2 linked regions of the Struthio camelus genome follow. The main gene of each other region encodes a partner of the protein of the gene in region 2 in a complex. Links are inferred from orthologs where the notes say so. Each region holds a gene or a part of one and is shown on either strand. Other genes may lie near its edges.

Evidence for each region.
Region 1: the proteins of GCC2 (region 2) and RAB6A are in contact, whole or in part, in a crystal structure (PDB 3BBP), measured with the Homo sapiens proteins. The link is inferred for Struthio camelus from reciprocal best matches to the Homo sapiens genes GCC2 and RAB6A. Residues at the interface, in NP_852118.2 of Homo sapiens: Thr1585, Ile1588, Leu1589, Glu1591, Gln1592, Leu1595, Leu1596, Glu1599, Arg1602; in NP_942599.1 of Homo sapiens: Lys15, Ile46, Gly47, Ile48, Trp67, Arg74, Phe75, Ser77, Leu78, Ser81, Tyr82, Asp85.

Annotation. Positions count from the first base shown.
Region 1 is NC_090942.1:223,041,991-223,052,645, forward strand, and holds the start of RAB6A (ras-related protein Rab-6A), read right to left. Parts: upstream 4,797-10,655; 5' UTR 4,509-4,796; coding exon 4,439-4,508; intron 1-4,438. Other genes in the region: MRPL48 (large ribosomal subunit protein mL48), read left to right, coding at 9,601-9,621, 10,471-10,523. UniProt on the Homo sapiens protein: The small GTPases Rab are key regulators of intracellular membrane trafficking, from the formation of transport vesicles to their fusion with membranes.
Region 2 is NC_090942.1:155,279,796-155,290,378, reverse strand, and holds the start of GCC2 (GRIP and coiled-coil domain-containing protein 2), read right to left. Parts: upstream 4,300-10,583; 5' UTR 4,135-4,299; coding exon 4,129-4,134; intron 1,402-4,128; coding exon 1,339-1,401; intron 642-1,338; coding exon 557-641; intron 1-556. UniProt on the Homo sapiens protein: Golgin which probably tethers transport vesicles to the trans-Golgi network (TGN) and regulates vesicular transport between the endosomes and the Golgi.

The sequences.
Region 1 (10,655 bases), about 68 Mb from region 2:
TATTTTTCCTCTATAGAAGAGATCTAGCTCCTTCAGAAGCTTCCAAAGAGATGCATATCAAAAGGCACCATGAAAGCAGGCCTCACAAAGTATTTAAGTCCTTTTCTCCAAGTCTGACTCTTCTTCCAGACATTGTTGGAAGGACTATTTCAGAGATGGGGAAGAGAAAGAACGGGGACAATATTCAGCCTCCAGAGGTACCCAAGCAAATGAGGCTAGTGACTCATGTAGAGAATACTGGAGTCCCAACCACTCAGTCAATATATTCCTGTTAGCGATCCTTCCGTGAACAGGAGGAGGGGAGGAACACCCACACCACACACTCAGAGGAAAACCAAGGCACTAAGAAATTAACAGGAGGGAAGAGGGCAAGATTTTACTCAGTGGTGGGACAAGTTCATACCTCTGCAGCTCGTAAACCAGATGGAACTCTTCTTTTAAAGACTCAAGTTACATGGGGATGCCAGTCTCCACAGATAGCGGCTGAACTGAGACGAGTGTTATGCCAGCTTCTCACATACAAACCACCTGCAGGTCTCCAGTTATCTAATAAGCCACATCATACTATTCAGCAGTGCCTGTACCAACCCTGTTATGTAACAACACAGTTCGTTAGCAGTTTCTAAACAGTTATATGATACAAGCTATTATATTGTACTTAGTACAACATTTTCAATATTAAAATATCAATTCTTGATGAAAAGCTCTAATTGGTTATCATTTTCAGATCTTGCAGAACGCAGAAATGACTGTAGTAAGATACAACAGCAACTTATTTTGCTTTCTGTATACATTAATGCCCTTCAGACTTCCGCTCCAATAAAAGCTGCAGCATGAACCCACATGATGAAAGAATATTTCTATTACTGCGCCCCAGCAGTCAGGTCGGCCCAGCCAAACACAATTTGGCAAATAAAGAACAAGAGATGTTCATACACAAGACAAAACTAAAGATGTTACTAAATATTTTGAGGGTATACAGCATATTTACTGCAAGCTACCCTAATAGAGGTGATGCATACACTAACCGATGTGACCCAGAAACCAGAATTTATTACTTAAGGCATTAGGACTCATGAAAGTCACCTGACAAAACAAGATCAAAGGCAGTAAGAAGCATATATTTTTTTTAATAGTAGTTTTCTCTAATCCCTCAGCACAGAGCTCTGTCTTTTCAGTCAAGATTAACATACTAAAAACTATTAAACTCTGCATAATCTCTAGTCATTGAGAAAAGTAATTCAATTAAGACAAGCACTGGCTAAGTTTCCTTCTTGCTAGTCACCCAATGCTATATCCTTGTGCTGCAAGTAAGGAAAAAAAGAGCTAGAAAGAGAAGCTTCTTTTCAGCTGGACACGGCTTACATTGCAGGCTGGTGATGAAACCACAGTACATGCGGCAGGTATCCAAGGCTCTGCTGATCCAGTTTGGGTGGGGAAGGCCATGGGGGACAAAAACCGTATTGCTATTGAGAAGCAATGACTTGCAGTAAATCCTGAAAGAAGCTGCAAGGGACCTTATGTCATTTAGCCAACACACACCACTGACTGATTAGCACTGGCAGGACTCTGCTGAACAGAACTGCAGCAGTGTGTCAGCTTTCTTTCCATGGCACTGACTGCCCGAGGAGCTGGTGCAATAAAAGCATAAAAGACAGACAATGCAAGTAACAGACACTGGAGGCAGGAAGATTCTGGAGGTCAGGGAGCAAGGGAAGAGAAGGGCTTTCCCCCCCACCCCTTCTCTCCCTTTAAAGAGAGATCAGTAGCTTATCACATAGGAGAATCAGCAGCTAAAGACAAACAGCATAACTAGGAAGAATCACCGCAGTCCAGACAAACATGTCTGGGTATACAGCACCGAACTGCCACAACATGGCTGAGGATACCAGCAAAAACTACAGGCTGCATCCACTGCACAATTTCAATTTCAAGTACGGTTACAAGAATGAGATGTCTAGAAACGTTTCCAGATCTTTCACAGCAGGATATCACCTCTGATCACACAATTGCATCTAAAAGCGCTAAAGCCTGCGCAGTAAATGAACTCCAGGTAAGAATCTCTTAACCGTAACACGCACATTTAGCAAAGACACTGTATACAATCAACACAAGTGGTCTGATCCTAGCTGGCTTTGGTTGCTGATCCACCTAATCAGCGTTGTAGCCCTTTATAACATTTCATTTGCCATTATGAAGTGCCTCAAGCAAGTGAAACAGAAGCATCCTATAACCCTACAAGCAGTAGTAGGATATCTTTAATTATGGCCTTCCAGCAGGGCAGACAACCTTTCAGCTCAACAGGAAGTAAAGGCAGTAATCCAATGCAACAGTTGTACAAAGAGATCTTTGATTTACAAAAGCTATAAGAACTATTTTTATTTCTACATTTCCCTTAATCTTCAAAAACAAGAATGACAAAGGGAGCTACGTGTAAGCAAACCCCCCCAGACCTCCTCTGCAGGATGCGAGATGCTTCCATATTATCTCCATTATATGGAGGAACGTTATTAGAACATTTATTCTTTCAGGGGCCATACGTAACGTAACTATTCGCACAGTAATAACAAAAAAAAAACCCACAAAAACACACCCCCAAAGAATTACATCAAGACAGCAATATTTGAGGAGATCCCATGCGAATTCAGAGAAAGCTGTTTCTCCAGCACATACGAGAATCATCTGGGAGCTGTGCTGGAGCATGCCTACGCTGCAGCACCTGTAGGCTGCGCGGACACACCGAGCTCTCCGTTGCTATCGGCATAGCCATGTTAGCACAGAGTTCGGTGCGGACCAGCCACTGAGCGATCGCCCCGATCTAGACAAAGGCAGGTCTGAAACCCACCGCACAGCTGCTAGCACTACCTAGTTCACCACCAGCCTGAACACATCAGTAAGGCACAGTCACAACAGCTGCACTGTTATGTACGTTTAGTTAGGAGTATTTTGCCAAGCTATACCCCCAAAAAATCCACCCTTCTCTCCTCCCCAGATTTGAAGCTCTCGATGGGAATCATTTACGACCTTCCAGTATAGCCATAGATAATTAGTTGGGGGCAGGCTGTCAAGATTAGAGGAAGCAGGTATCAGATGATATGTCTGCCACAATAGATAGACAAGAAATTCACACGTAAACTAAGAGCTGCTGAGATTTAAGATCTGCACTAGATGCCTCCCATGGAGGCATCCTAAAAGGTTCGGAAAATTAAAGCTCAAAAATGCAGGAAAGCAAGCAAAGCATTTTGCAAATGCACACGTGACACTCTAGATTCATGTTACCAAATAATAACTTGGGAAAAAAGAAAGAAAAAAGCATCTTTAACACCTGACCCTTTTCCAAAAATCCTCATAAAATGGCTGGCCAAACAGCACCTCACCAAATAGATCAGGTGACTTAGCCAAGAAGAAATACCCAAGTTGAACTTGCACTCCCTGCATCCCTAACATTGTGTTGGAGCGGCTCCAACACAAAAAAGGGGGCAAAAGGGACAGACTAACGGAAACTACCAACATACAGGTAATCACATATTAATAGCAGTCTTGCCACCAAGCTCATCTACATTTAAGTGAAGAAATATCACTATATAAATCATCGGGGGTGGGGGGGAGGAGGAGGAGACGACACGTAGTATTTCATCAGCTCCTACCATACAGGGAGCAAAGGTGGCTGAGGGAGCAAATACCCCACCCTGAGACAGGGAATATTTTGCTCCTTTTCGTAATATCAAAGATTCCTCAATATTTGACCAGGATCACAACGTATCCTACAAATTAATGTTTCTCAGGGTGGAGGAAAAAAAAAAAAGACACTCCCCAAAAAAGTAAGATTTGAATTCAACACTGCAGACAGTGGCCTTCTATTTAGAAAGAAGGTGACATCCAGATTTCTTGGGTTTTTTGTTGGGCGTTTTTTTCCCCCCTCCTGCCAGCAAAGACAGCAGGGAGGGTGGGAAAGGGAAATATTTCGTTTGTTACATTAAAAAAATTTAGAGCGTTTGATCCGCCGCACCCAGATGTAACCCCATTTTTCCAAAAACGGAACAAACAAACAAACAAAAAAGAAAAACCGGTATATCGAAGCGGGAGACACCAGGGATCGATCTTCCCTTTTCCCAGCAAAAAGGGGATGAACCCGGGCTAAATGAATCAGCAAGCGCCGCAAAGAGATGGGGCTGGCCGGGGTGTAAAAACAAACGGACAAATGAAAAGCGTGAGAAACGACTAAATAAAACACACAGGCAGCTGAACGGGGCTCAATGCCTCCCCAAGGGGCGGCAACGGCAAGACGGGGCCGCCCGCAAGGAGGAGGCGAGGGAGCCGGCGGCAGGCGGCCTCGCCTCAGGCCCGGCCCGGTGGGGTCGGGGGAGGTCCCGCCGCCGCCGGCTGTGTGAGGTGAGGGGGGGGGGGGGGGGCGAACCGGACCGGACCGGTGACTCACCGCTTTGCTCGCCCAGGAAAACCAGCTTGAATTTCCGCAGCGGGTTGCCGAAGTCCCCGCCCGCCGACATGATGGAGGAGCCGCCGCCGCCCCGCGCTCCGCTCCGCTCCCCGCGGCGGCACCCGCGCCCGCTCTCTGGCCCTTTCCTCCTCTCCTTCCTCCCGCGTCGGTGAAGGAAGAGGAGGAGGCGGCGGCGGACAGAGCAGGGCGGAGCGGGCCGGGCGCGGAGCCGCGGCGAGGCGCAGGGCGGCGGAGCCGGTTCGGTTCGGTCGCGTCGCGTCGCTCCGCTCGCCTCAGGGCCGTCCCTGCCCCCCGCCGCCTCACGCAACCGGCCGCCCCGTCCCGCGCACGCGCGCGCGCGGCCCCCCCCCTCCCTTCACCGCACGCCCCGCCCTCCCTCCCTGCGGCCGCCCAATCGCAGCGCGCCGCGGCGGCGAGGGAGGGGGCGGGGCTTGTCCCCTCCCTCCCTCTCTCTCTCTCTTCCCCCCCCTCCACCGCTTCGGCTGGGGGAGGGTGTTCACGCTGGAGCCTAATGGTGGCTGCGTGGGTGGGCGGTTTGGTAAGGGGAGGTGGGCAGCTTGCTGAAATGCCCGAGCTCTTGGGCACCTGTAGGGGGGAAGGTGAGGCAGGGGGGACCCCTAAAAGCGCTCTCCCTCAGGGAAGGCTATAGCGTGGGCAAAGTGAAGGCGCGTGCACGCTGTCCGTAGCATGTCCGGCGCCGAAGACCGTCTGCGTTCCCTGCGTGCATCCTCCTATTGCGCCCGTCCTCTTCTCGCACCCGCCCTTCACCCGGACAGCGGCGCTCAGCTCAGCCTCCGCTCACCGCAGACGGCGACAGCGCTGTGTGCCCTGCTGCTGCGTCGGTCGTTCCCCGCGCGGGGCCGTGGACCAGCCGCACGTGAAAACGAAGGAAAACTCTCCGCGACGTTTGCCGTTTCTGGATCCTGGGAGACAAACCCAGCTGAAAGGAGAGCAGCCTCCGGGAAAGGGGCCCGGATTCGGGCACGTTTGGCGGCTACGGGAGCTCACGCCTGTTGCCCTCTTCACCCCCTTCCCAAACTGGTGCCCGCGTGCTTGGCCGCAAGGGCAGCGCGAATGGCCGGAGCGATGCTCCTCGCTCAGGTTGCTTGGATATGGATGCCAAAATGTGATTTTTCACAAGCGTTCGCTCCCCGAGCTTCCCAAGGCTTCAGCTGGCGTTGTCGGCACCTGCTGTTCCCACAAATATCTCAGCTTGGCTGCCTGAAACGAGGACACGCTTAATCACGCGGCCTTTTTGGGGTCTGCAGCTTGCGCCTGTTAGTTTTCTTCGCGTCGGTGTTGACGCAAATCTAGTCAACGAGGTTCAACTAACTCAACGAGGTGGGGGAGCCCGGAGCAAGCCTGGTGGGACGCGCTGCACCTTGTCCTCCAGTCCCGGCACGGCGAGAGCGCGTCACAGCTCCCTCGCAGGTTCCCCTCGGCCAGGTTTTCCTCCACTTCTCCATGCGGGCGGTTGCTCCAGGACCTCTCTGCTGGGATGGTCAGGGAACCATCTCCACCTTCCTCTCCGAGGCCCGCGAGCTGCGTCTCAGCGCCGCGTTTCTTCTGCCAAGGGGACACCACGCGCCAACTCTTTGCCTCCTCTTTGGAAAACGTCGCGGAGCAGAACTTAACGTTATTCCATCTCCACGTGACCTGCTGCCCTGGGTTTGTATATGGTCCAGGGAGCTATGGGGAGGGGGGGGCACAGACTCTCAGTAAGGATTTGTTTGCAGGGAGGTCACCCTCAAACCTTCGTTCAGCGTCTCCGTCTGCGCCCGACTCATGGAAACGCTCATTGAACTTCTCTGCTGCGGGGATTTCTTCTCGGACATGAACCTCGCCCAGAGCCCACGATTCAGGAGCAGAACTGGAAGGTATTTGGAAGACCAAACGGTCTCTCCTTTCTATTTTTGATCATTTCATTCATATTGCCTCAACGTGACTAACTGCTTCTCCAAGGGTTTTTTTTTTTTGTTCCCCAGGCCTTGAACTGCCAGTGAACTGAAAGAGAAAACGTGCCTTTAATAAGGTGATTAAATTCAAGGAAGTTTGAATAAGGACACGAGCAAGACATCTCCTTTTGCTTTGCACCCGGCTGCGCAGCGCTGTGACGCTGCTCTCCTGCTAACCCGGGGCAGAGGGGACCCAGACTGGCACAGAGCTGGTTTGAACAGTTTCAGCATCGTTTTAAATACGTAAACTGTCCTTGTTTGTTTGTCAGTAGGGATGCCAGGGATCTTACTCGCTGATCCCAGGGAAAAGGATGGCTCTCCACCGGGGAGGAGGCTTCGCTGCTAGTGACGATTATTTTTGTCGCTGATCTGTCCAAGGGCTCTGCTCAGGCTCAGCGTCTCTTTGCACTGGGCAAAGGACAACCCTTTGCCTTGCCTCCCGAAGAGGGTTCAGCCCGAGGGGCTGGCAGGAGACCTGGATGAGGATTTCGAGATAAAAGCAATTGAGGGACCTTGCTCAATTCGTGAAGCCAAGGCAGATGGTCTTGCTGACTCCTGCAGGCCTTACCCACGGTCCTAAGAAACCGCAGAAGGCAGAAAAGGAGGAGGCAGGTACATCAGAGGAGGTTTTATTCCAAGTTGTGCTCAAAAGCTTGTTGTTTGCCTTTGCAACCCGACAAGTCCCCTAGGACAGCTTTATTCTGGGCAGCGCGGCGGAGACTGAGAGAGAAGGGGTTCGTTAGCCAAGCAGAGGAAGGCACGACGAGAACCGCTGGCTGGCGGCTGAGGCTGGGGCACGTTCAACTTCGAAGTAAGGCCCACGTCTTTAACAGCGAGGGTGATCGGTTGCCAGAACGAGCTGCCAGGAGCAGCGCGCTCTTTGCATCAGAGGGAAGCCGAGAGCTGGAGCCTTTGTGAGAGGAACGCTTTCGTCGAAGCACGGGCGATCTGTTTGCACGCAGCTGCAGCTCGGAGGAAACGTATAGCGTGCAACGTGCAGGAGGCCAAATTATACGCCAGAACGGTCCCTTTTGGCCTTAAAATTTATGAATCTATGATAGATGTCAGGGAGATCTCTGCCATATAGAGATGGACTGTTCTTTCACTGAGACATCTAAGAGGACAATGATGGTCACTGAAGGAGGAGGGGGAAGGGAGAATTCTTGTAATATTTTTAGCAATGTTTGCAGTACTCCAAACTCAGTCCGGGGCCGTGCTCTGTCCTCAGCCACGTTTTATACGCGGCCAAAAGATTAGCCCCCCGAGAGGGACGAAGGTACTAAGGAGAACTAGGGGGCTGCAGACCCGCTCCCTGAGACCCGATAGCACGTGAGGTCGTGAAACGGGGAGTCCTCACGGGCATAACCCAAATACCCGTTGCTGCCTCACCCTACAAACGCAGGGGCAGTTAATCCCTCTCCGGTTACAGCAGTCCTTCCTCAAGCACGCCATTTCCTCCAGGGCTTCAATGTTCACTGGAGGAGACGTCCAGCTTTGCTGGAACGGGAGGGTTGGCCCTGACCCGGCTCAAACTCCACTCGTGCGCCCTGCTCGAAGGAGGAAGGAGGAGGAAGAGTGAGGAGGAGGAGGGAGCGAAGCAGTTCGAAGGAGGGTGCAAGAGACAGGGAGGAGGAGCAGACTGACTGCAAAGAGATGTTTTGTTTTGTTTTGCTTTCCAGGCCAACCCCAGACTATCAGGCCTCTGGCTAAGGGAACGGGGACGCGCGGCGTCGGTCCCTCTTCGCCCAGGGCCGCCAGGCGCACCTCCTGGCCCACCTCCTCCCCTGGCGGGAGGAAAGCCCTGCCGAAATTCAGGCAGGCTCCTGCTGCTCCGTCGTGCCTACATCCCTCTTTTGCTCGAAACGTTTTCGGGCATGTTAGACGGACACTGGCTGCCTCCCCTCTGGGCACCCGCTGGCCATACTAACATGGCCGCCCGCAGGAGGGGCGCGGCCGGGCCACACTCAACATGGCCGCCACACCGCGCCACGGCGGGGCTGGCCAGGCCACGCTCGCCCTAGCCGCTTGACCACGCTAGGAAGGCTCCAGACCGGCCACACTCAACATGGCCGCACCACCGTGCCGCAGGGCCGCTGCCCCCTACCCGCCCGCCAGCTTGATGGACGTTGAGGATGGCCAATCAGAGCGCGAGACCGGGGTGGGGGTGGTGGTGGTGGTGGTGGTGCGGAGCCAGCAGGGTAGGATGGCGCTGGGCGCAGGGTTGGGTGCGCCGTGCAGAGCTGCCACGTTGTTCTGCTCTTTGGCCAGCGCCAGCAGTGGCAGTTGGGGGTGGCTCCAGTGGGGCAGAGGGGACGGTGACAGGGCTGTCCTCTCTCGTACGCTGCAGGTGAAAGGTCTCCTGTTTGTCCATAGGTTGCACAGCATTGCATTATTGCACGTTTCTGCAATATCGCACGTTTGGGTGTTATTGCACGTTATTGCCCAGATTTCCTGTGCTGTTACCCAAAAGGGGCATCTTGCAGGGTGGGGGTCACCTCAGCAGCACCCTCCCCCCCAGACAGCAGCTTGCAAACGGCCATGCCCCGACCTGCCTGCCAGCTGACACAAGGCACAGCAGGACCAGTGGATCCCGGCACGTTGCAGCTCGCAGGCCCCATCTGACCTAGAGAGTCACTAATTAAGCCCACAAATTAACCTCATCGATCCTCTCAGCGCAGCGCCGTGTCGCTCTCCACGTGCTATTTATTTTAGCAGAGATGACGTAACCCACAAGTCTTCATACTGCAAACACAGCTGAAAATATCCCCCCCGCCACCACCTCGAGCACAAGTACCCTGAAAAAAAACCCTTCCCAGGCCAGTTGCGAAGCCCCTTTTCCCCCCGAGGCCCCTCGTAAGCACCAGGGCGTTTGCTGAACAAAGCTGAACGCCCTCGGTTACGTAGCCCATAGCGTGTCCCACCTGCCTCGTATTCTCACCAAAACTAACTGCACCAAGAGCAGCAGCTCGGCAGCAAGCCCTACTAACACCCCCGTCCCCCCCTCGAGGCCCAGCGGCCGCCTCGGGGCGCGTTATTTCTGATTTCGGGGGTGGCGGAGGCCGGGCCGGGAGCGGAACGCGGGGCGCGGGCTGCGGGGTGCCGGGGGGGGCGCCGGGCCGGGTGCACCGAGGCGGCGCGGGGGACCGCTCTGCCCGCCGGACGCGGCCGCCATTGCCCTGGGTCAGGATGAGCGCGGTGCTGCGGCAGGTAGCGCGGGCGGGCACTGGACCGGACCGGACCGGACCGGACCGGACCGGACCGGACCGGCTGTGGGACACGGAGGGGGGGGGAAACGGGGCCCATCTGGCTCAGGAAGCGGGGCAGAACAGGATCGCGGCCGACGTGTCCCCGGCGCCAGGATGAGGAGGGGGCCCGGGCCCGGCTCCAGCTCCGGGCTGAGGAGGGGGCCCGGTCCGGGGCTCGTCCCCGGTCCTGGGGGGGGCTGGACTCGAGCAGCCCCAGCTCGGACACTAGGGAGTCGGGGGGACAGGCCTGAGCTGGCGCTGGGCTCTCAGGCCTGACCTAGGCCTGGCAGTGGTGGTGGTGGGGGGTCTCGGGGTTGCATTTGGGGGTGGAGTTCCCCCCCCCCCATACGTGCCTTGTTTGCCCTGGAGCAGGGCGGAGACACCCCCTCCCCGCCAGCCCTTAGGGATCACCCCAGCCCCGGCACTGCCCCGCAGGGACCTGGTGGATCCCTGGCCCTCCCTTATTTCACTAGCGAGTGGCGAGCGCAGCAGTTGTTCGCCTGGGTTTTTGTAACCTGGTGGCAGTGGGGTGGCGTGGCGGATGAGTACGGGATCGCCGACCCCAAGCTGTTGGATTCCTAAAGCAAAGCGAGAAGGTTATTGCGCCCATCCCGCTTCATCCCCCTCCTCGGTGTTGCAGCTGTGGTCTGGGGAGTTGCAGTGGCTGGAGGCTGTGGACGCATTGGCAGGTGTATTAGTGCTCCGAGAGGGTCCCGCGTGTTGTTTTGAAGGATGCGTTCTGGGAAGCGCCAGCGAAAACTTTCTGAATGTTTGTCGTAACGTTTGCGTGCTGACTGGTGGTTCGTTGCAGGTTCTGCGCTTGAAGAAGAAAACCTCGCTAAAGCAGGTGTTTGCACTCAGCCGGTGAGTAGTTCGACATCAAGCCGGATAAATAAAGCAGAGTGCAAGGCATTAAAAACGCTTAGTTGATTCTACAGACTGTGCCAGAAAACATATATGGTAAAAGAATACTTCTTACCAAAGAAGGTCTTTTAA
Region 2 (10,583 bases):
CCACTGATCACAGAATACATTACTTCAACGAGGTGAGCCTTTTAGGTGGTTACCGCACAATTCCATTTGTTGCATTTTACAATTTCTCATTAAAGAAGTAAATCAAACAAATATAAAGCAGCTAGCCATTTTAAAGATGCTATTATGCTCTGCAACAGAATTAATTATGCACAGTTAATTACACAAAATGTATTAGAGATTTTGCCCCTCCTATCTGCTTCCTGAAAATGTTATCATTGCAACAGTTATGAGGAATAGATAATGACAGGTCCAACTTCAACTTGCACAGGCTCTTTATCACATCACGCTGCCTGATAAGTCAAAGTTAATTTAATACTTGACAAAAGCAATGTTTCTTTTTTTTCTTCCCCCCCCCCCACCTAAGAGCTTCAGTCTTTATCCTACCACAAAAATAGTGAAATCTCAGGGAAAAAAGAAAAGTCTAGGATATTTGCCTATAAATTAAGTCTACCTAGCAAAAGTTCGCTGTGATATTAAGCACAGTCAAGCAGTACCAAGCATTAAAGTAGAAATTATTCCCTCTTCAGTAAGGTACCTGTACACTTTGACTTCACTTTCTGTATGAGCATCACTTGCTTTTTGGCAAACTTGATGAGATCTTCTTTGGACAACGTGTCCAGCTGTAAGAAAGTACATATTTCAAAAACCAGCCTCCTCTATCCCAGAGGTAAACAGCAAATAATTTCTTGGAAATCAGATGCTAAAATGACTAAAATTTAGGGCAAGAAACTGTCCTACCCTGCATCTGCAAGGATCTAACAGTCCAATAACAGAAACTACTGCTAATTCTGTGCTTTTCCAAAAGTCTTTCAGAATATTTAATTAGGAAGCATCAGTCAGAAATGAAAATTCTGTTGGGCAGGATTGCAATACAATAGATAGATTGCGAGATACCAGAAAAAATCTGAAGCCTATAAGCAACAAAAAAAAAAAAGTAGCTAAAGTAGCTGGGTCTTTGGAGTAATATAATTTGGACAATGTTTTGCATATAGTCTGCTAATCTAACACTACTGTTTTTTGATTTACTGCCAGTATGGGCAAGGAAGTCTGGGTACATAAGGAAACAGACTATTTCCAGAACTAGGTATTATAAATATCTTATAAAACATTACCACAGGAAGTGAGTGCACTAAAAATAATTTTTGTTCCACAATTTCCAAAACAGGCTTTCCTGAGCCTAGCATTTGTAAATCAAATTTTCAAGAAGTACAGAAGACACAGAACTGTTTAAAAATACCTCTATATCTTCCTACTAGGAAGCTATAACTCTCTAAACTGCTGCTATCCAAACAAATTAAATCTGTGAAGTCAGATTACCTTTGATTTGCCTGCTCCTGGTGTGACAGGAGAAGCTACCATCTCTTGCCCAGCATCTTGTACCTACAATGAAAGAAAGCGTAGTATGTGAGAACCGAATTTTTTTGTGCAGACTACTGAAGGAAGTAACTGAAAGTCTGCATGTACTGAGAATAAGTAAACATAGTGGGAGTTCAAGAAACCTAAAACATTTGTAGGACTAGTCAGAAGGACAACGGAGGAATTTTCCTTAGAGATCTATTGCAATTAGTCCATTACAACAGCAGAACGGGAAACTCTTAATTTCTAAACCAGTATAATCCTACCACTCCACTACTTAATTTCTATTCACCGTTAATATATTCTGCAAAAATCACTTTATTTACTATGGGTTATGAAAGTGTAACTCAATATCTTGTTATTAAAAGACTTGTTTAAGATAAAGCAGGAGTGAAAAAGCTTGTACGGGATGGACAGCTAAATCAGATTTAGGAAACTTTTGAAGAAAATATAACCTTGAAACACAATTTTCTTTTAAATGCACTGGTTAGCACTAAAAGCGCATGGTAGTGGTGGCCTGGCAAAAGCATTTTAAAAGGCTCTGCAAAGCCTGGACTTTCTACTCCCAACATAAGTGTGTAATACTTTTTACTGTAAGCCTCCTCAGATCTATTCTGGGAGATCAATTTCAGAGTGGGTTTACACAGGATATGCTCACACATACTTGGAAACATAAAGAAATAAACATAATTAAGATGCAGTAAAGGAAAATAGGACAGACACTTCCAATATATTATGCATAGCATTTCCAAGCTTTGACATTCTTTTACACTATCAGACTAGATACTATACCTTGACTTTTATTTTGTTACTCTTTTTATTCAGATAAATAAAACATTGTAATAGAAACTATGGAAAAAACAAACTGGATCTAAATATTACTGGTAGGGATAATCACTGATGGACAATTCAGAGAGAAGAGCTGATAGAGATATTAAGAAAGGCCATAATTAGAAATATCAGTTCAAGCACAGACCAAGGACAAAGGTATCTCTCTGTACTACATGGGCTAGAGTTTTTGAGATAGCAAAGGCAAGCTTATTGGAAGACAGTTTGCCTGTTAAATAAATACAGAACTTAAGAAATAGCACTATAAAGGAGTTCAAAATTCAGACTTTATTGGGATGCAGAACTTTTTCAACATATAAATTCTTAATATTTGAGCACGTTATTAGTAAAACACCGCCACTACAAACAGTATGCTTACATAGGTACAAATTGTCTGTACTGTTTAAAAATAATAATAGCACACATCTGTTCATGTTACAATAAAGAACGACAGACCTACATGTTGCTTTTACTCTTCTTTAGGCTGACATGCACAAAGGCTGAACTTCATATCATGCAAGGAGGTGCACCCAGTTTTGCTGTTCTGGTAGAAGGTACCACAAGCAGCTCATGTAGAGGGCTTTACTTGTTTTAATTAAAAGAATGCTGAGAAAGATGGTAATCAAAAACCTTAAACTTGATGAATTAGGTGCATCCGAGCTGTAAGCCCACAGACATAATACTTTTAAGTACAACGCTGAAAATAATCTTGTAAGGATTCCCAAGTTTCTACTCTATCACTCTGAAAATAGGGTACTGTATTTTTTTAATAATAATGTTTTAATTTTTGCTCTCTATTCCTTACTTCTGCAAGAAGTAAACACGCTATTGGAAAGCCTAAGCAGCGTAGGAATGCTATATATTAACTTTGACATAACCTCTGACAGCACTGATCATCCTGAGGAGTGACTTTTTTGAGCAGCGCGAGAGTTTTTAGATGTTACCAAATCTAAACACGTTGAATCACATCAGAACATTTTGAATTCCGATCGCTTCGGAAAACAGGAGCGTAATTAGAAAGTGCCGAGCTGAGCACCTACAGGGAGTTAATGCCATATGTGAAATTTCAGTTCTTCAAGACTGCCTTTGGATTCACCTTGGTGGTTTTGAAAGATACACAGTAGATACATGCACTTCAGCGATTTCATTTGCCTACGTCGGCAAGGGTTTCACAGTTAAACCACAGCGAAAGCACTAGGCCATCCTCACAAGGAAAGAAAGCCTATTCATTCACGCTGTTTTTAAAGAAAGAGGTGTCACCACGCAAGGCATTCATCGCATCGCATCTGAATGCTCCTTCCCCCCTCGGCTCAACACTGCTTGCTCTCCCCCAGTCTGTGCAACCAGGAGGACACCTCCACCTTCCAGCAGGAAGCACTAAGCAGCTCCGGCAGCCCAACCCGGAGGGCTCCCAGGCGGAGGCCCACCCACTCCCGCAAGGTAGGAGCCCCAGCACCGCGGCGCGGCCCGCTGCCTACCCCTCCCCCTCGCCGCCGCGGGGGCTGCCCCACAGCCACAACCCCCGGGGCCCTGAAACCTCGGCGCCTGCGGAGACCCCCCGGGCCGCCCTGCCGGCCACGCCGCCCTTGGAGAGCGTCAGGCGGCCGCCACCGAGGCGAGCGGCGCGGCGCGGCCCGTCCCCCCGGCCCGGGCGCTGGGGAAGGGGGAGGGGGGGCTGCGCGCCAACGGCCGCCGGCGCCGCGCCGGGGGAGGGGGCTGCGCACGGGGCCGCGCCTGGCGGCGGGGGCGCGCGCGGGGAAGGGTGGGGGGGGGGGGAAACCGCCGCAGGGCGGGGGGTGGGAGGGGGAGCGGGGCTCGCGCGCGCCTGCCCCCTCCCCCCGCTCCGTGGCCCAAGGTCACGCGACCCCCAACGGTTCCTCCCAACGGCTCTCCTTGCCTCCCCCCCTCCCCCCGCCCCGTTACCTCCATGGCGGAGCCGGCTCGCTGCAGCCGTTGTCAGCGCCGCTGCCTCTCCCCCGCCCCTTGCCGTCTCCGCTTCCGCCTTCGTCACCGCCCCACACCTCTGACGTAGCGCTAACCCCACTCCCCCGTACCGTCCGCGAGCGGGCCGCGGCCCCGCCCCGCCGTGCCCCTGCCCCACGCGGCGCGGGCACCCCGGGGGCTGCCGCAGAGGGGGCGGCCGGCACTGCCGGGTGGGGGGGTGGCGCGGAGCTCCGCGCCTTGGCCTGTGCCACCCGCCCCCCGCCCCCCCGGCCGCCGCCGCCGGGCAGGTGGGGGGGGCGCCTGAGGCCGCCTGCCGGGGGGGCGGTTGCGGGTGGAGCGGGTGCAGTGGGAGGCGGCGGGTTTGGCAGCGCTGTGGTGCGGGTGGTGGTCTGGAGACCTAAGAAGGAGCCGCTGCGGGAAAGGGTGTGTGCCGAGAGCTTCGCTTTTCCCACGGAGGAGGTGGAAAGAAACTTGAGGACGGACCACCACCAGCAAAAAAGCAAATAAATAAAAAAGCACTGGATACACCATCTGTGTCAGCCCACTCGCTGCCAAATAGTGCCTACCGTGTTTTCCCCTGTTTTCCCCCTTGCCCTCCCTCAGTGGTATTTTTATGACGGAAAGGTTTAATACTGTCATTAAAAGCAAGCTCACTAGACCGGGCCTGGTCGTGAAGCGGCAGCTGCACAGCAGCACGCGACGCTGAAACTACAGCTCCTAATTTGTTCAAACGCAGGCTGCGCGCAGACGTCAGGTATAACACAGCCCTCTGAAGCAAACGTTTTATGACAGATCTTCTGATACGGCAAGGCCGCTATCAGCAGCAAAAGCAACCTGAAAGCTGGCTTACACTGTCCCTTGAGAGCGGCCCCCGTTTACAGGAAAACCTGGGGGAGGCGCGCGCCGCGTCGGTTGCCGCGTTAAGAAAAACGGCCGGAGGAAAGGGGTACGGCCGCTGCGCCCTTGCGCTTCGTCGTTGCCCACCGCTGAAGGGCTCCTTTGGGAGACGGGCTGCCGCCAGGGCACGCGGGGGGGGGGGGGGGGACCCTTGCTGGTCCCCTAAGGAGAACAGGTGGTTAGCGACGATGTGCTCAGAGAGCTACTTCAGGATTTCAGGGCCCGGTTTTTCATATCCTGATGAAAGCCCAAAGCGATCAGGTGATTTATCAAGAGTCGTATATGAAAGACTCGTTGCCAGAGCGAACGGCTTCTGCCGGGCATTACGGCTTGCAATTCTGTTTCGTCGTTAGGGTGGGTTTTTTTTTGGCCATGACACATCACGGAGGTGAATGAGGGGAGCGATACCTACTGGTATTTTTAAAATACACGTCCTTTTTATTTTACTTTTTATTGTAATCATGCATGCACTTCAACAGTGCTTGAAGGATTTCTGGCATTTTATGATAAGTAATTGATTTTTAATGAGAACTTGCTTGGGAGAAACAATTCAGGCATATTATTCAGGCATATTTACAATTCACCACATCAGTATTGAATATCGCCGAATTAATTATAGTGTCATGAGAGATTATCTATTGTTTTAATGAAAAAAGGGCCATGTTAGTCAAAATGCTGCCCTGATAAGGAAGGAATAATTTGCATTTTTTCAAGTCTCCTTACTGTCATTCTTGTTTTAAAATTCGAATGACAGATAGTGACAAAAAGCAGAAAGGTTGTTCACATAACCTTAGAAATTGAATTCCTTATCTTTTTTCCCCAACACATTCACCATATATTGTATATATTTGTTGTACGTTATGCATGTAAACAATTGCAGCAGCATATGACCCCATGCCCTCACAGAGTTTGTTGGCGAGAGATAGTTCTTGATAATCAAACCCCGAGAAGCTGCATTTTCCGGATTTCTTTTCTTATATTCTAGAGCACTAGATGAACTAGAAACTTTCTTTCCCCATCCTCTTTGGGACACTCTGAACTGGGCACCTAGGACTGTGCTGCCATGGTCTAACATGGGACTTTCAAATGGCTTCAGGAAGAACCTTTCTACATAAAAGGCCTTCCAAAACCTTCTTGTGACAATAGCTTTGGCCCTAAACTATGCTGTACTGCACTGCTTTGTCCTTCGAGCTCAGCCTCTGATTGAAGCTGGGTGTCTGGAGAGAACATTATAGGATAGCTTACTTTCTTTTTGGAAAAACCCAGAGAAAGTAATGTTTCATGTAAATTTGTTTTGGCCTTCTTTCCTCAAAGATATTTATTACAATCCGACTCTTAAGTCATCACATCATTTAGCCTATGAAGAAACTGATTTCTGGAGATGCTCCAAGGCAGGTACACAGAGGTTTTTCAGATGTGTTTGTACTGCAGACAAGAACAACCAGCTCACTCAGCACAGGCTTTCTGAAACTAACTGATTCTGGCTAGAAGGCACCCAGCCCCCAACAGAGCTCCCTGCTCCTGGGAGATACGTATTTGACAGAAGACAGGCCAATCTCTGCCTCTCCTCCTCCCTCCATTTTGTGCAAGAAGGATTTGGTTATATTTTACGGATGAAATGCTTCTCACAGTCGTTCATTTTAGTCTAAAATTACAACAGCAATTGCAAAGCATCCTGATTAGGGGAAATAAAAGGTTGTTTCTAGAATAGCCAGAAGAAAAAAGATAGAAGATTTTGACTGTTGATTATTTCGATTTATTACAATAAAGTACAAGTTGATCCAGATTTCATGGGAAAAAATGTTGATTCATACTTGCAATTGTTTTACATCATTTTCTTAAGCAGATTATGAATAGTATGTCTTATCAGTCCAGAAGGAGCTAGGAAGATGATATATATTGCATGCAGCTAATTTGGGACAAGATAAATCAGAAAAAGAAGAATATATGTTCCATGTATTCTCTAATTTTATTATCTTTGTAAAAGGTAATTACTCATCTTTTTAAATAGCATTGCGTATGTAAAGCAAGGTTGCCAAGATGCATTGTGGCAGAGCATAGCAAACTTTAAATTCTGCTTTCACTGAAAGACCAAGTTCCACAAGTCTGGGATTAGTCATCCCACTGATGTGGTATACAAGTGCGTGTTCACTATCATGGCAATTATTAGACCTGCAGGAGTGTTCTGAATGGCACAGAATGAGAAAATTACTATAATTTTGCGAGCAGCAAATGCATTTTCAGCTTACAGAGCTAATACGTTAAACAATTGCAACTGTAGAATCTGACTTTCTGCCAGCTTCTGAAGATAACAAACTCTTTTGTCTGTGAACCATGCTGGGTCAGTTAGCATCCTTGCTTCAAGCAGCTTTTATGGCTTTTCTGTATGCAAAATTAGTGTAAAGGAAGGCAAAGTATGAATTTACATCATTGTGACTGTTCTTATTGACTCCCTGTTTGGAAACTTAAAATATTCTCTCTTCCCCATGAAAATGAACCTTAAATTCTTTGGCTGACTATTATCATTTTGTAGACTTGGGTTCACTAGGGTATTTCCTGTAGTGGACCTGAACAGGCTGTAGGTATAGTGAAAAATTTAAGGAGTGCAAAAGGGAGCAGAGGGTGCTAGCATGAATGTTTGTATGAGTAAGTGAGATGCAGGGGTAATACTGCCCACTGTATTTATCTGTATAGTGCTTTCTGTGTGAAGGATATGGTTATATATTAAAGAAGAAATTGTTTATACAGTCTCTAATTCTGGTCTTAAATTGCAACAGGACACTGAGGGTTAAGAAGTTTACTGCTACTTCTACTACTAATCTGCAGAGCCTACCAAGTGTATTCAAAGATTAACTTTAGCTGGGAAAAGGAAACTAGCATTTTGTTTGAGCACTTAGGGTTGGGTCTGGCTGTTAAAGACTATTCCATTGTTGACTGAACACAAAAGCACTTTTAAATCCGGTTTGCAGAAAAGGTAGCAAATATAGACCAGTGTGGGTTATCGGTACAACAAACAGGTTACTAGGAATGAAGAGGCCCAACTTTAATAAGTTTTCTAAATTCAACTGCCTTCCTTTTTAAGGGTCTAGCCTGAGATTCTGCCTGTATCTATACTGCCTCTTCCAGGGCAGGAGCCAGTCACTTGACGTTGACATAAGCTCTCTGTCTTCATGACCATCTGGTAGATGCCCATAATTCAGCTGTGAGCCCTCACACGTCACCTAACAGCAGGCTGAGCTCACACTGCTCTTAGATACCAACTGCTCTTGCAGCAGGTGATGCTGAAGCCCTTCCAGAAAATGAACCATGACTAATTTGCCTCTTCAACATTAACCATGGGACACTGCCGCATGCCAGCATTCCTGGTCCACCCACACAGTGCCTAAGCCTGCACTTGGTTTGGAGCCAGGCAGACCTTGAACAGGCTGCCTTGTTATGCAGCCAAAGCCCAGGGATTTAGGTCTGGCAGTACAGTTTGGTTGCATCCTATGAGTATGGAGCGCTTAAAGTTTCTTTCTTGGTGTGCCTCTAGCCTCACCTACAGCCCGCATTAGAACAGGGCTTGCATCACTCAGCAAGGTCACAAAGGAAATGGGAGCTTCAGTCCAGGCTTAAAATATAGTTCCACCTCTGGAATATTCCCAGATTAATAATTAACCTTGTTGTAAAGATAAGGCTCTTTCTGAACATGTTGACATAAGTCAAATCATTATATAAATCATATGTTTTGTTTATCATATACATGGATAGGACGAGTGGGAAAAAACCCTACCTTCTGTCCGTGGTCTATTTGCTGACTGGGTAAATAATAACTTTCAATCCATGCATGAGGTGGATCATCTACAGTAAAATTAGTGGAATTTAAACCAGTGTTTTTTCTGTCTTGGAATACTAAGTAAAAAGATGGAATAACCCCCTTCTCTGCCACTTTTGTTAATTTTTTTAAAGCTTGATGCTCGTTCCAGTCAGCTTCATGAAAGGTTGCACTCCATGTAGTGGTAGAATGACTCATCTAGTCCCTATAGAGAGCAGAGCTAAAGAAAGCTTGTGACTACCCTAGAATTAAGTGTTACTTATCAGCAGTTCCTGTTAAAAACCCTGTATCAAAGCAAGAATCTTCTTCCACTCCATTGAGAGGATTTGTTTTGGTAATTGTTATTGCATAGCTATAAAGCAGGCCCATGTGAATAGTTAATAGGTATTAATCGACATTGATTCTCAGACATTTGCTGGAGATGATTGAAAAGGTGTTTCAGCTATCAAAACTACTTTTTTTTACAAAGGAAGAGAGAGAGACAAACAGCATTAAAATAGCTGCTGTGGGGTTATATCAGCTGAGCTGATACAAGGCCATTTTAAACTGACATAAAAAAGTTGCACCTGTGTAAGCAAATTAATAAAATCGTGCCTCTAGGTAAGTGGATGAAAATAATGCATCAGAGTGTATTCAGCGCATATCTCTAGCTAGAGCTCTGTGCAGAGTTTTATCATCATAGTAAACACAGTCTCTTGTATGCACAGGAAACTTGACAATAGTTTAAATTGATTAGAAATACTTTAGTTAAACAAGTACAGTCTCCTTCTGCAGACGCTCATTGATTTAAAGTATCTTATGTCAAAGTAAATTACACCTCTCACAGATTTATGTTAATATTAGTAAATAATCTCTGTTATCACACGTCATTTAAAGCTCCTCTGTACATGACAACTGACAAACATAAAAGATAGGTAAGTTAAAGGCACTCTAGATGTGGGCGCCTTTCAGTCACCCAGAAGCATAGACACATCTCTGTTCATTGGCATACTGTCATAACTAGGCACCAAAGCATACTAGTCTCTAGGCCCCACTGGGGGATGCTTAAGCCTATTAACCCCTTTTCCCAAACTTTCCCAGTAACTCCCAGTAACTCCAGATCCAGTCATTCTCACAGACAACAACTAGATGCCCTGGAACAATTAATTGTTCCCTGAAGGTTTACAGTGCTGCAATTACTGTCATATTACAAATTATGACTGAATCCACAGCTTCATCTCTCTTAGTCATGCTGGCTCCAGAAAGCATAAAGATAGAAACACATCCCCCGCTCCTTTCCCACCCCCTGCCAGCTGTGTTTTGTCATAAAGGTTAACATTTCTATGTTTGAATATGTATAAGGATAAGATCACTAAGACAAGGAAATCCTATTTTTATATAACCACACATCTAGTGGTTTTTTACTCCCCTTTTTTCCCAGACTGCCCTCCCTGACCTGTGTTACTCTTTATCTATTGCTCAGAGCAGCTGAACTCCGGGTGGGTAAAGGTGAAGATTTGCCTAAGGAGGGGAGAGCAAAGGTGGCTTAGCCAATGTGACATGAGCCTCTTATATAATACCTCTATGCTTGGTGTGGCTGTGCGGCTCCCGCTCAGATGGGACTGCAGCCGCCCACAGCACTTTTGCACTTTTGATAGATTCAGAGACTTCTAAGGAGGAACAAACAGGTCATCTACGTAACCTTTGGTACAGCACAGCTTATAAAACGTCACCTAGATACTGA